Arabidopsis thaliana: one gene and its partners. The protein of the gene in region 3 interacts with the protein of the main gene of each other region in a pairwise test. Each region holds a gene or a part of one and is shown on either strand. Other genes may lie near its edges.

Region 1 (4,012 bases), on a different chromosome or scaffold from region 3:
ATGGCCAAATTAACCGTGAACTCTTGAAATGGTCGTTTTATACCTCAACAAAAAGTTGACTTCTAATTTAACCTATAATTTATCGTTGACTTCTAATTTAACCTATAATTTGTCGTTGACCCGGCCAAATAGACTCACCGTTAACACTCCTTAACAGCGCTCCTAACAGCCGTTACAAAACATGGCCTAACAGCCGTTATTGTTGGTTTAAGGACAAAAACAGTTGTTAGTTACGCTGTTAGGAGAGCTGTTAAGAAGTGTTAATGGTGAGTCGATTTGGCCGGGTCAACGATAACTTATAGGTTAAATTAGAAGTCAACTTTTTGTTGAGGTATAAAACGGCCATTTCAAAAATTCACGGTTAATTTGGCCACTTTTTGAAAGTTCAGGTATTAAATAACATTTTTCCCCTTCTCATTTACAATTTTCACATTACTTGGGAGCATATGAATGTTTTTATCAGAAGTTCTTTTAAGTCTTCTCCAGTATTCTTGTTTTCACTATCCATATGAATGTTTTATCAAATGGAATATACTCTACATTTGATGTCATATTCTATAAGATAAATAAAGGAATATACTCTTTGAGTGCTACGTAAAACAAGAACATGTGGTCATTGAAGTTATTTCCATGGAATTGGGTAAAAAGATATAAATAACACAAAACATTTGTATAACCAAGGAAACTTTAGATCGAAGCCTAGACACTAATCTCCGAGGATCCGATCTCTTGGTTTAGATAACACAAAACATACAAAAATTATAACAGAACAAATTGTACCTGAAGACTATGTTTCTTTCTCTATCCATCTGTCTCTAATCTTTTGTGCGGCCAAGTTCAACATCTTTTGATTGTGTAGTTTCTACACCTTCCTTCAAAAGTTCAAACTCTTCCTCTGTTAAGCTATGTTTCACACTGTTTAAAGCCTTTGCTGCAATAATCGACTGTTTCTCCAATTCCATTGCCCAACTATAGATTACCATCCCAACAATCGCAACAATCATCCCCGCTACGTTTTTGAAAGTCATTGCAGAATCAAATAGGAGCCATCCAAGCGTGAGGATACAGACGGTTTTCATGTGACCAATAACTTGGAACGATACTGCTGAAAACCGCCCGATGCAAAGGTACTGGCTTATGTTGCAGAACACAGCTAGACCACATGAGAGAAGAATGAATAGCTGCAAATTGTAGAACATTAGCCAATGATAACATAACAATACTAGCAGAGCCATGAAGAGAGATACTTACAAAGCAACCGGAAGACATATTATACTTCATAATGAACTTCCCACTAAGAAGATAATCAACTAAAGGACCGACAACAAGAAGCGAAAAAGCTTGAATCGGCGCTGTTTTACTCAACAACTCAAAGGACCCAATTGAATATTTCTTCTGTAGAGAACCTATTAACTAAGCAACACAGAAGGAAAAAACACCAATTGATCAGATTTGAATTCCACAAGCTTCAAAACCAAATCACCAAACAAAAAGACTTACAATTTGCTGCAAGGATGACGAGAAAATCGCAACACAAGCACAGATAAAACCTTTGGCATTAACTTTAACATCAGTCACAGTACAAATACCAACACCAACAACAACAACCACAACAGATATTTTCACTTCTCTTGAGTATCTCTTGCTATGTAGAATCCATTCCATTACACATACCACAGGAATCATGCTCAGCTTCGAGATCTAATCAACACAAAAAAATGTGAATCCACTAAACCAAAATCAAAGTCTATATATGCTCAAATCAAAGCAATTTGATTCTATATGCTCAAGATCGAGATCGAGATGAATTACTTGGTAGAAGCCAACGGAATTGAGCATGAGACTGAAGTTCATAGCAGCAATAGAGACATTAGCGACAATGGAGAACCAAATAAGCTCCCACATAGGTACATGCTTCGAAGCAGAGAATCCGGTAGCGTTTGATACCATACCGACCAATGCGGTTAAAGCGAAGTGGAAACCGGTGAGAGTTGTAGCTGAGAAAACAGAGATCGGAAAAATCATCAGATCTCAAAAGCGAAATTGATTAAAAAGAGTGAGAGATCGGAGGAAGAAGACGAACCGAAACTAAATGCGAATCCAGAAGAGGACATAAGTTGTTTATTCGCCATGATGATTCCAACGGAGCTTATCACATTCATTGCCCAAGCTCCCATATCGGAGACTGCTGAAGGAGATTTTCTCTCATTCTCCGCCGCCATCTCTGGTCAACTGTCACCACCACCACCGTAGAAGGAGATTTCCGGTGATGCGATCTCGGAGATAGAGAGATAGAGAGAGAAAGAGAGATTCACGCTTTGTTGGAGGCTCACCTTCTGAGAGATTCTCTTTTCTCTCTTTCACGTTGAGAAAAATATCTGACAAATCTCAAATCTGAAATAAATACTTTTAAAAAGGAAGTTGTGTAAGTAGATTTAGTTTTTACTTTACCCGCATCAAAATTCATCATTACAATTACATTAAGAAAATCATTGATTATGTTTTTTTTTTGGACAAGAAAATAATTGATTATGTAGTGACAAAAGTTGTAGATGAGTATTATGACAAAATTGATAATCGAATTTTTTTAGTTGTTGCAAATTTTGATTTTAACGATTTTTTGTAATGAGATTTGAGATTTTCTGTAAATTAAATCTTTAAAAAATATTTCGTGATTTGAAGATTTTCAATTTATTTATTTATGACTAAAGAAACTCTCAATTAGTGGATTAGACAAATAAATCTTGAATTTTGCATTGAATTGACTAAATTATTCACAAACCTTAATCAAAATTATCTGTTGATTTTTTTTATTAACTCTATACAATTTAATTTACAACAAATGTAAATGTCCAAAAATGATATCGTATTTGACACATATATATGGATAAAATAATGTAAACATATTCTAAAATAAATATCATAAGATTGTGTTATGTAAATAATATAATTACAAATATTTGTTTATTTGCATAATTTCCAAATATTTTTAATATTCTTTGAACTTTTTGTGTCACATAATAAATTCTATAACTATGAAACAAACCAACTGTGTGAGAGTACTTTTTAGCTAATATTTTGAATAAAACTATTATTTTCATAAAAACCAATACATATTTATCGAACTGATAATATTATTTTCCCTCTCTTTTTTGTATATGAATATTTTTAAATTTTTCACCATGCATCATTTCTAAGGAAAGTAGGAATAATTAATATGTTTATAATTTACTATATATAAAAAACAACACAAATAAAAGAAAATGACACAAATATATAGTAGTGCTTGTTGACCAGTAACTTAGGCAGATTATGAGGCGAAGGGAACCTCTTTTCATGCTGCCGTTATTTTTGCATTACGCAAAGTCAAAGTCAAAGTCTGTTGGTAACTTTTTGTTTAAGCAGCCAATCCATAAAAGTAAGTCATAACTTTGCATTTTCTTCATGAACTAGTGGAGATCACATTAAAATATTTCGTTTTTTCATGTAAGAAGCATGAATATTTACGATAATGTAACTGATAAATAAAAAGATGACTGGAGAAGTTTTTTTAAAATAATAATAATTAAAGAACATAAATCGATAATACAAAAACAAAACGGAAAGATGAAAAGGAATTATCGTAGAGGTGAGACATTATCAATTTTCTTAATTCCTTAGATATCCAAAAATACAACTATAATATTTTTTCAGACTTATATAAGAATAACTATAGAAGCTTACAACCAAATGAGTTATTAGATCAAATGGTTTCATCAATTCAATGAGTTGAGTTGTAAACTTATAATGAGTTAACATATTAAATATTAATGAGTCTAAGCAGAACTTCTATACTGATTAAATATTATTAATCTTTTCCAAAAAAATATAAAAATATATATACATATATAAACCACACTTCAAAAGAAAATTTAGATTTTCTCGAGAGTTAGTTTTGTAAGTTTTTTGGTGAACATAAGAAAACATTATCTTCGACTTTTGTTGTGAGTACTCTAAGAGGCCTTGTGTTTTA
Region 2 (4,173 bases), 7.0 Mb from region 3:
CTCAGGACTTTGATGTTAAGGAAGTGGAGGTAGTTAAATTTCATCCCTCTCCTTGAAAAATAAAAGCTTTATATTTCAATATTTTGCAACACCTTTTAACTGAAACAAGCAAACAAACACACCATTGGTTGATTGATTGTTGCAGCTATGGGGATTTGTGTATGGCTCAAAGTATGATGAGATTCTAGCTCACAGCAAAACAATGGAGCCTGGTCTTTGCAGATGGTCATGATCATTATAAAGAAAACCCAAATGAATTCAACTGAGATTCGTCTTTTTGTTGTTGTTGTTGTTGTTGTTGTATAAATCTGTAGTAAAAGAAATCTTGTTGTCTTGTAACTTGGCTAAAATCACATATATGTTACTCTCTCTCACTTGTAATGATGATTTTGAAATAACAAAATAAAACCACCTATTAGGCTCATTCGGCCCATTAAGGCCCATTAAAGCATATGTGTGTGTGAAGAGGGATTAATTTTAGTGGGGAAGAATCAAAGAAGAAAAACCCTTGCTACTGCTTTTCATTTCTGACCTAAAAGCTCAGCTCCGATTTGAAAATGGGGAGTAGATTGGGAGGACGAGTGGTTCATTTCGCGAATCTTCCGATTAAGCTTCTGATGCCTGCGAAGCTGACCAACATTCACGAATTCGCGTTGAAAACGATTCCTTCCGCGTCCAAGATCGAGATCAAGCGAGTCCTGGAGTCGCTCTACGGATTCGATGTGGAGAAGGTGAATACTTTAAACATGGATGGGAAGAAGAAGAAGCGTGGTGGTTTGTTGATAGCGAAAGCTGATTACAAGAAGGCTTACGTCACGCTACGTAGTCCATTGTCGATTTCTAGGGATTTGTTTCCGGTGAAGTATATCGAGGAAGATAGGAAGAGTAAAGTGAAAGGATCTAGCTTTGTTGAGGAAGAAGATGATAAGAAGAGTCATTGGCTTGATCGTAAGGAGAAGAGGGAGATTGGTGGTTATGGTAAAGGTAAAGGTCGTCGAGGTGGTGAAAGGGCTAACTCTCCGACGAGAGGTGGTGCTGCGGCGGCGGGGACGGCCAAGTTTCCATGGAGCAACATGAGATTTGTTGGTAAGTAGGGTTTATGAGCAGATTATGATCTGGGGTTTGTGTTTCTTTAGCTATCGGATTATTGATTTTGTTGTTTCTATTACTTGAGGTTTGTGTATTGAGAATCTGAATCATTGAAGCTCTCAGTGTTTCTGAGATTTGGCTAATAAATCTGAATCAAGATGTTTCCAATTGTTTGTAATCTTTCTCTTAGTGATCTCTGATTAGCTATATGATATTTGCTGCTCCCGAGTTCTAAAGCTTTTTTTCTTAATTGCAATCTATAAGAATGCTTAAGGGGATTAACTCTGGTGATGGTGCTTTGTTTGTCTGTTCAAGTTTTGAGAAACCTCTTATTAGTCTTATTGTTTGTGGATTTGGGGCTTATGTTCAAATGTTCGATCACATTACGCAGATGCAAAACGTATGATAAAATTGTGACAAATCACTACATTAGCCAATAAATATAGTCATCTCTGATCATCCCAAAAATCTCATCACTTTGTGGACTAGTAGCTTGGTGTTTACTAAATAATTGTTAAAATAATTGTTAGTTCAGATTTTGGTATTCATTACAGATTACAACTAGGCTACTACTCACCTAGTATCTTCACAAACTAACAAAAATTTGTTTGGCTTAAAGGTCTTTTTTTGGTTTAGGTTTTAATTAATCAAATAACGATTTAAAAGATTAATGAAGAAGACTTTGATCATAGAAATTTTAGAAAACATTCATCATTAAAAAATATTATTTTTTTTAAACACAGATACACCCAACCGCATCGACGCGCTTCTTATATAAAGTCTCCGCGGAAATCGTTGAATATATTTGGGCGCGTGGCGATTTTGTGAAGGTTGTCAAGTTTGTGTGCGACCGAGTCATCGTCGTCGTGCTCTCCTTCTTCTTCATCGTCGAGACCTAAGAAAGACGAGACTCTGATTCTTCTGATCTTTGAATCACACTTTTTCTTTTTTTCCTTCTTCTTCCAACGGAACGGAACATATGGCTTCGGTTTCACCTTTGGCAAAGTTTAAACTGGTGTTCTTAGGAGACCAATCTGTCGGAAAAACCAGCATCATCACTCGTTTCATGTATGACAAATTCGACACCACGTACCAGGTATTTACACAGATTCCTTTCACTTGTTTTGTTTATTCATTTAAATTCTTCTCTGCGACAACAAGTTTCTTTTGTTTTCGTTTTTTTATTGTTTGATCTGATTCATTATTTCCTATATTACGATTGTTCAGACGATTTCATCTCATATTGGTCCTAGATTACGTCGCTGATATCACTCTGGTTTTTCTTCAATGCATTTGTTTGATCACTCTGCTCTCTGTTTTTTTGGTTGATTTATCAATCTCTTCTTCTTATTATGATCAAGATCGATGATGCTAAGCACTGTTGCTTCTTTGCTTTCTTAGTTAGTCATTAAGCCTTTATTTGTGTTCTCTCTGACTCTCTGCAGCCTACCATTGGAATCGATTTTCTATCGAAAACAATGTACCTCGAAGATCGAACAGTTCGTTTGCAGCTATGGTGAGAACAATGTTACTTTTGCTCTTTACCTAAAAACTAACATGTTAATTTCAAAAGCAATAACAAAACAAGTTTTGATTGAAAGGGATACTGCTGGACAAGAAAGATTCAGGAGTCTAATCCCAAGTTACATCAGAGATTCTTCTGTTGCCATTGTTGTATACGATGTATCCAGTAAGTCCACCTTTGTTTCTCTCTTTGATTCACCTTCTTTTTTGTGTTCTTATGTGTTCAATCAATACTTTGTGTTGCAGATAGGCAAACGTTTCTGAATACCTCGAAATGGATTGAGGATGTTCACAGAGAAAGAGGTCAAAGCAATGTTATCATCGTTCTTGTTGGAAACAAAACTGATCTTGTTGAAAAACGGTAAATACAAACATTAAGCAAAGAATTGGATGGGATGGACTATATAATTCTCTCTTGTCTTATATATGTCAATCTTGATATAATGAAAAACAGGCAAGTATCAATCAGTGAAGGAGAAGACAAGGGTAAAGAGTATGGAGTGATGTTCATTGAGACCAGTGCCAAAGAAAACTTCAACATTAAGGTATGACAAAACTTCAACAAAGAGTATGGAGTGATGTTCATTTGAGTGTTTCTTGTTGTCTGATTTCTAAACACACCAAATCTCTTCAATTTGCAGGCTTTGTTCCGGAAGATTGCTGCAGCTTTACCCGGGGTAGACTCATATTCATTGGCAACAAAATCAGATGACATGGTTGATGTGAATCTAAAGACCACTTCAAATTCATCACAAGGTGAGCAACAAGGAGGAGCAGGTGGTGGTGGAGGCTGTTCTTGTTGATTCAAAAATACATAATTCCAAAACTTGTGAAGCAAACAAAAGGGATCACGTTAGTTTTGTGGTTTTCATCTTATTAACTGACACAGAATATAAAACATCAAAGAGAAAAGGATTACTATTTTTACACATGTGAATCTTTTGCCTTGTTCTGTATTTGATCTGTTTTAGACATTGACGGTAGCAGAATACAAAACCTTATTCTGATCACCACCAAATGAACCAAAGGGAGAAGGATCAACTGTGGTGACAGCTTCCTTCCACTCAATTGTACCCCAAATCTCACCTTTCGAACGAAATCTCGGCACACCAAACATCCAATCTCTCATCATCATCATTACGCTCAAGCCAGAAGAGAACAATGTTCACACCAAAACTGTTCACTTGACTGATATTCTTAGAGCCTCCAAACCTTTAACTATCTTCCATTCTGATTCCTCAGACTCTTGCCAAAACACTCACCGGAAGCTCATATCGGTACCGTATAACAACAATTCCTCAACTACACAATAACTCAAAAGATGTGGCCTATTCGTTCTTCCCCATTTACCATCACTGGGAGAGTAATAAACACTTCCTTCAAACCATTTCACTCCGTAAACCTTGTCTTCCTTAACAAGGCTTCCATTGGCGTTTGTTTTGGCCACTACGATTATCGGCGGGAAGGTTTTGTTGTTTCTTCTCTTCTTGGAAAACGAAAAACGTTATCCTTTATTTGTTCTTCTCTTGTTTTACTTTTTTATTGAGCCTTCAAACATTC
Region 3 (4,589 bases):
ATCAACAACAAATCAATCACCATCGATTCTCGCGCAAATTAAATTAAATATAAATTTGATCGATTTCGAAAAACGAGAACTCGATTAACCCTAAATCGGAAATAATCTGACCTGTGGGCTGTGGAGTTGACAATCGGGTTATCAGAGAGAATCGTTCGAGCAGAGAGCCAAACCAATTCAATCCAGAGACTTTTTGTGTTTAGTCCTTTCGCACGCCTTTTCCCGTATATTACGTGCGACTTTTTTACCCTCCTTCAATTAATACATTACTCCAATTTTTATCTTCACAAATAAATTATTTTAATATTTTCATACATAAATGAGCTTTTGATTGGTTACAAATTCAGAACGATAGAATCATGAAAAATAATTTGATGATTTTTTTTAAGATTTCAACAACATTACTTTCGAATTTTACTACTCAATGAGAACGAGTGTTTTATTTTGTCACAGAAGTAAGAAGAATTTGAGTATTTGAACTGATTTTACAACAATTGAACAAAGACTAGAGTAACAATGGTGAAAAAGTTTCATTTCATGCATACGGGAAAGATATTAATATGAGTAGTGTTCTTTACTTCTTTTGATGAAAAGTGTAGTGGCTTTAACATTATTGTTCATATCATCTAAATTTTCAACTTTATTGTTTCTTTTTTCCCCAATCATGGAAACCAAAAGTTGTAAAGCAAAACCTTTAGATCTTTCTCCTCAACATAACAACATACAAGATCACCAAAGATTGGCTATAAAAATGGCTGGTTTAAAACCAGTCCATGTCCACTCTAACGCCCAAATCATTCGGTCTTTTTATCGAGTTTCTTCTTGGTCTCGCCGCTATAAGGACCAGCATGATAAGCGTGTTTCTGAACCGCAGCGAAGATAACCATCTCAAGACATACCAACACATTCTGAATTGCTTCTTGGATTTGTTCTACCTCCAACCAGAAATGGTGAGATTTTATGAATCCCATTGCCACCAGTATGTCTAGTGCTATTCCCTGCAGTTTCAGAATCAAAAGAATCTTATGAGTATATCCAAACATGAGAAATCTTGTTTTGAGGGGTTTACTGATTAATGCAAACATTACCTGCCAAAAGACAAAGAAGACAATTCCTTTGATGCAGAGGAACTTTGCGAGTGGATTATGAGGAGCAAGCTCCTTAGCAAACACATGGTAGAATATCACAAGAGAATACAAGGCCAGAGAAACCGAGAAATTGACAATGATAGTGAATGTCCAGCTCAACCATGAAGGATAAAACCCGATGAGCTGTAAAGCTATCATCAAAGTGGAGCACACGGGTCGAATGACCACAAATTGCCATGTCCAGTATTTCAAAAGTTTAAGAGTGTGACGATCCAAACGGACTACATGAGGCTGTCAAAACAATAGACACAAAGCTTTTAAGGGTAAAGAAGCAAATAGATATTAGATGAAATCATGCAATGAAGATAGAGACGAACCTGAAAAAGAGTCATTGGGAAAGAATGGTGAATCTCTCTTCCTTTGATTCCATCAGGCAAAATGTTTTTGCTCATAGATATGTTTAGATAACTATACATCAATGCCAAGAATTTGGCAATGACCTGCAAAATATCGAAAAAAATTGGTAAGTGTCGTCTCTACAATATGTTGTATACTAACACAAGCGATAAAACAATATACTCACAAGAGCTTCGTAGCATTCTTTGATGGATTCAAGAAAGAGGAAGAAGGTTTCACTTCCTTTGACTTCTAACAAACCAATAAAGGAAACAACGGCGTAGATAGGAGCCATAAGCACAATGATGAGTATAGCCTTTTGTTCCTTAGGGTTCTTCCAGTGGAAGAGATGCTGCGATACAAGCTGTATCGTGAAATGAAGTGTGAGCAAGACGGAAAACGCCGAGCAATAAAAAGTGATCTGTGGAGGCTTCAGTTTCGTTAGGTCCATCATTGTGTCCTGCATCAAAATTAATACACATAACTCTTTAGCATCAAGAAGCCATCAGACTTTGCACAAGAATTCTAATCAATCAAACATCTAAATCTTCACAAATGTTTCAGCATTATATTCAGCCAAATAGCTCCACATCAAAATTCACTCTTTAGCTTAACATTAATTTAAACTGTACAATGAAAAGCAAACATCTCATGAGATCTAGAAAGCTAAATGGTTGGAGCAATTAGATATCTCCGTATCAAAACAGAGTATATAACCGAATTAAAAACTCAAACTTTATAGATGACTGGGAAAACGGGTGATGAACTCGATAAACCCAATCAGACCCATTAATTTGAAAGGTCGAATTCTGATTTTGTCTATGTTCCCAAGACTGATTCAAAGCTAGATAAGCAAAATCTCTGTAAATCTGAACAAAGCAAAATTAGCTAACCAGAGAGAGAGAAAGAGAGGAACTAACCAGATAAGAGCTAGGGAAGAAGCGAAGATGAGACTCGGAGAGTGTGAAGAAAGTGAATCAGATCTCTTAGTAGTTAGATCATGAAGAATTGAGGGAGCATGAGACCGCCATTAATGGAGTCACAAACGTGGTCGTATTATAAAAATGGCGACGCGTTTACCACGTGAGAGAGACGCTACGATTGCATAAAAAGAAGTCGGCATTGGTATACATGTGTCTCTCTGATTCGTCCACACGGTTTTGTCGCATTTGTTGGAGAAAAGATAAGTCTTTTAAACAGAGGTCGGTATGGTATGTATTTGGTTTCAAGGATTCATGAAATTGATATATGATTGTGATGTAAGTTATTGATTTTTTCTTCATTCATTACACGTCATGGGCTGAGAGAAGAAATCAAAAGAGAGGATTTGTATCTTTGAGCCCAAAAAAAAAAGGCACCATCTTGGACCATTGGTTTGGTTGGACCAAATAATATAATGATGTGGTGAAAAGTTTTTTAGCGGTTATGAAAATCAAAATAAAAAAAAAAGGCGGTAAGAAAAATGGCAATGCAGTAGAAATGGTGGTTCAAAAATGGTTTTAGAAGTGAGATCATCTTTATGCTCATTTATCTTGGGTTTGTTCGGGCTCTAACACCATGTACAATTTTAATCATTTGAAAATAAGTGGAAAGATCTATACATTTCATATACTTTATATACTTATGTTGAATTAGCTCCACATCTTATTGGTAATGGTTTGACAGTTTGAATTATAGCAGAAATAAAAATAAATATATAGATTTAAGAAATATAATTGCTCCAAATGAATGACATATAGTTGAATGATTGGAAAAATAGGTGCAAATGGTTGCCTAAAATTAAGAAGTTGAAAGAGTTGAATGAGCATTTATCTATTTTTTTTACCATTTAAGATGAATAAGTTGGAAAAATGATTCAACCCTTTCAACTTAAAAAGTTGGAAAAATAAACTAATTATAAAGAAATTTTTTCAACTTGTATATCTTCTATTTCACAGAGAAATGAGTTGAATAATATTCAACTTTTATTTTTCAACTCAAAATTTCCAATTATTTCATCTCTATGCAACCATTTTCAGCAAAACCAAGTTGAACATTATTCAACTCATTCATCTACAAAAGAGTAGATGAAATGGTTGAACAAGTTTCTTTTATAATTTGTTCATTTTTCTTTTTTTTTTGTTGAATGAGTTGAATCAATTTTCCAACCTATTCATTTCAAATCGTAAAAATAAAATAAATAGTTATTCAACATTTTCAACCTTTTATTTTAAAACAACCAATTCATCTAAATAATTTTATTACTTTATAACAATCGCTTGTTGAGGAGATGACTTAATCACTTTTCATTTTCTCTTCGTGAATTCGTTTTACTAAGTTTCCGTTACTTTCAAATGTACTCAAAACAAAAAAAACAATCGCTTGTTACTATAATAAAAGATCGATGAAACAAGATTCTAATGTTAAGCATTTTGAAATGTTACGAAACCGTACAAACAATTTATGTGATTAACGTCAAATGCATAAAAACGCAAACACAAAAAATAGCAGTTAAATCTTATAAAGATATTTCATAAAATATTACACACTCATGAAAGGTCTTAAAAGCTTAATTAGTTCTCATTATCAAAGAAAAAAATAAAAGCTTAATTAGTTCTTACCGAAAAAAACAAAGCTTAATGTTGATGAGTGAACGAGTCTTTCCACGTCGTCCACACTGTCCTCGTCGTCCTCGTTGTCTACGTCGTCTTCGTGGTCCAGGTCGTCGTAATTGGAAGTGGCGAGAGAAAATCCGATTTGGCGGTGCCCAAAATCAAATATCGTATGATATCTCTGAGTAAAGGCATTCCAAGAATATTGTAAACAAATTAATATATAAATTTAATTGATAAGTAATTTACGAAACAAAACGTACTTAATGTGACGAAATGGAGAGATAGTCCTCCGAAGTGAAATAAAAAGCACATCGGGCAAATAATTTGCTACCGCTGCTGCCACTTTGGCATTTGTAAATATCATCCTTTCCATATGACTAGAAAATAGAAAACGAAAAGAGAAAGTATTAAGTTAACATAAAACAACAAATAATAATAAAATGTTGTAAATAAAACTTACACGTCTACCACAAATTTGAGAGTAATCTCTCGGGTAATGAGATAGAAAAAT

The links. The genes of interacting proteins can lie anywhere in the genome.
Region 1: the proteins of AT4G21570 (region 3) and AT5G42420 interact in a protein complementation assay, tested with the Arabidopsis thaliana proteins (one large-scale study listed by BioGRID).
Region 2: the proteins of AT4G21570 (region 3) and RABH1c interact in a protein complementation assay, tested with the Arabidopsis thaliana proteins (one large-scale study listed by BioGRID).

Annotation. Positions count from the first base shown.
Region 1 is NC_003076.8:16,967,029-16,971,040, reverse strand, and holds AT5G42420 (Nucleotide-sugar transporter family protein), read right to left. Parts: upstream 2,387-4,012; 5' UTR 2,223-2,386; coding exon 2,084-2,222; intron 1,998-2,083; coding exon 1,813-1,997; intron 1,702-1,812; coding exon 1,501-1,701; intron 1,414-1,500; coding exon 1,252-1,413; intron 1,182-1,251; coding exon 816-1,181; 3' UTR 514-815; downstream 1-513. UniProt on the Arabidopsis thaliana protein: Nucleotide-sugar transporter that transports UDP-rhamnose or UDP-galactose and UMP in a strict counter-exchange mode.
Region 2 is NC_003075.7:18,504,044-18,508,216, forward strand, and holds RABH1c (RAB GTPase homolog H1C), read left to right. Parts: upstream 1-1,875; 5' UTR 1,876-2,068; coding exon 2,069-2,185; intron 2,186-2,534; coding exon 2,535-2,605; intron 2,606-2,690; coding exon 2,691-2,779; intron 2,780-2,859; coding exon 2,860-2,974; intron 2,975-3,067; coding exon 3,068-3,158; intron 3,159-3,254; coding exon 3,255-3,416; 3' UTR 3,417-3,660; downstream 3,661-4,173. Other genes in the region: AT4G39870 (TLD-domain containing nucleolar protein), read left to right, coding at 1-29, 146-232; AT4G39880 (Ribosomal protein L23/L15e family protein), read left to right, coding at 558-1,094. UniProt on the Arabidopsis thaliana protein: Protein transport. Regulator of membrane traffic from the Golgi apparatus towards the endoplasmic reticulum (ER).
Region 3 is NC_003075.7:11,470,332-11,474,920, forward strand, and holds AT4G21570 (organic solute transporter ostalpha protein (DUF300)), read right to left. Parts: upstream 2,691-4,589; 5' UTR 2,405-2,690; intron 1,945-2,404; 5' UTR 1,939-1,944; coding exon 1,672-1,938; intron 1,589-1,671; coding exon 1,466-1,588; intron 1,380-1,465; coding exon 795-1,379; 3' UTR 504-794; downstream 1-503.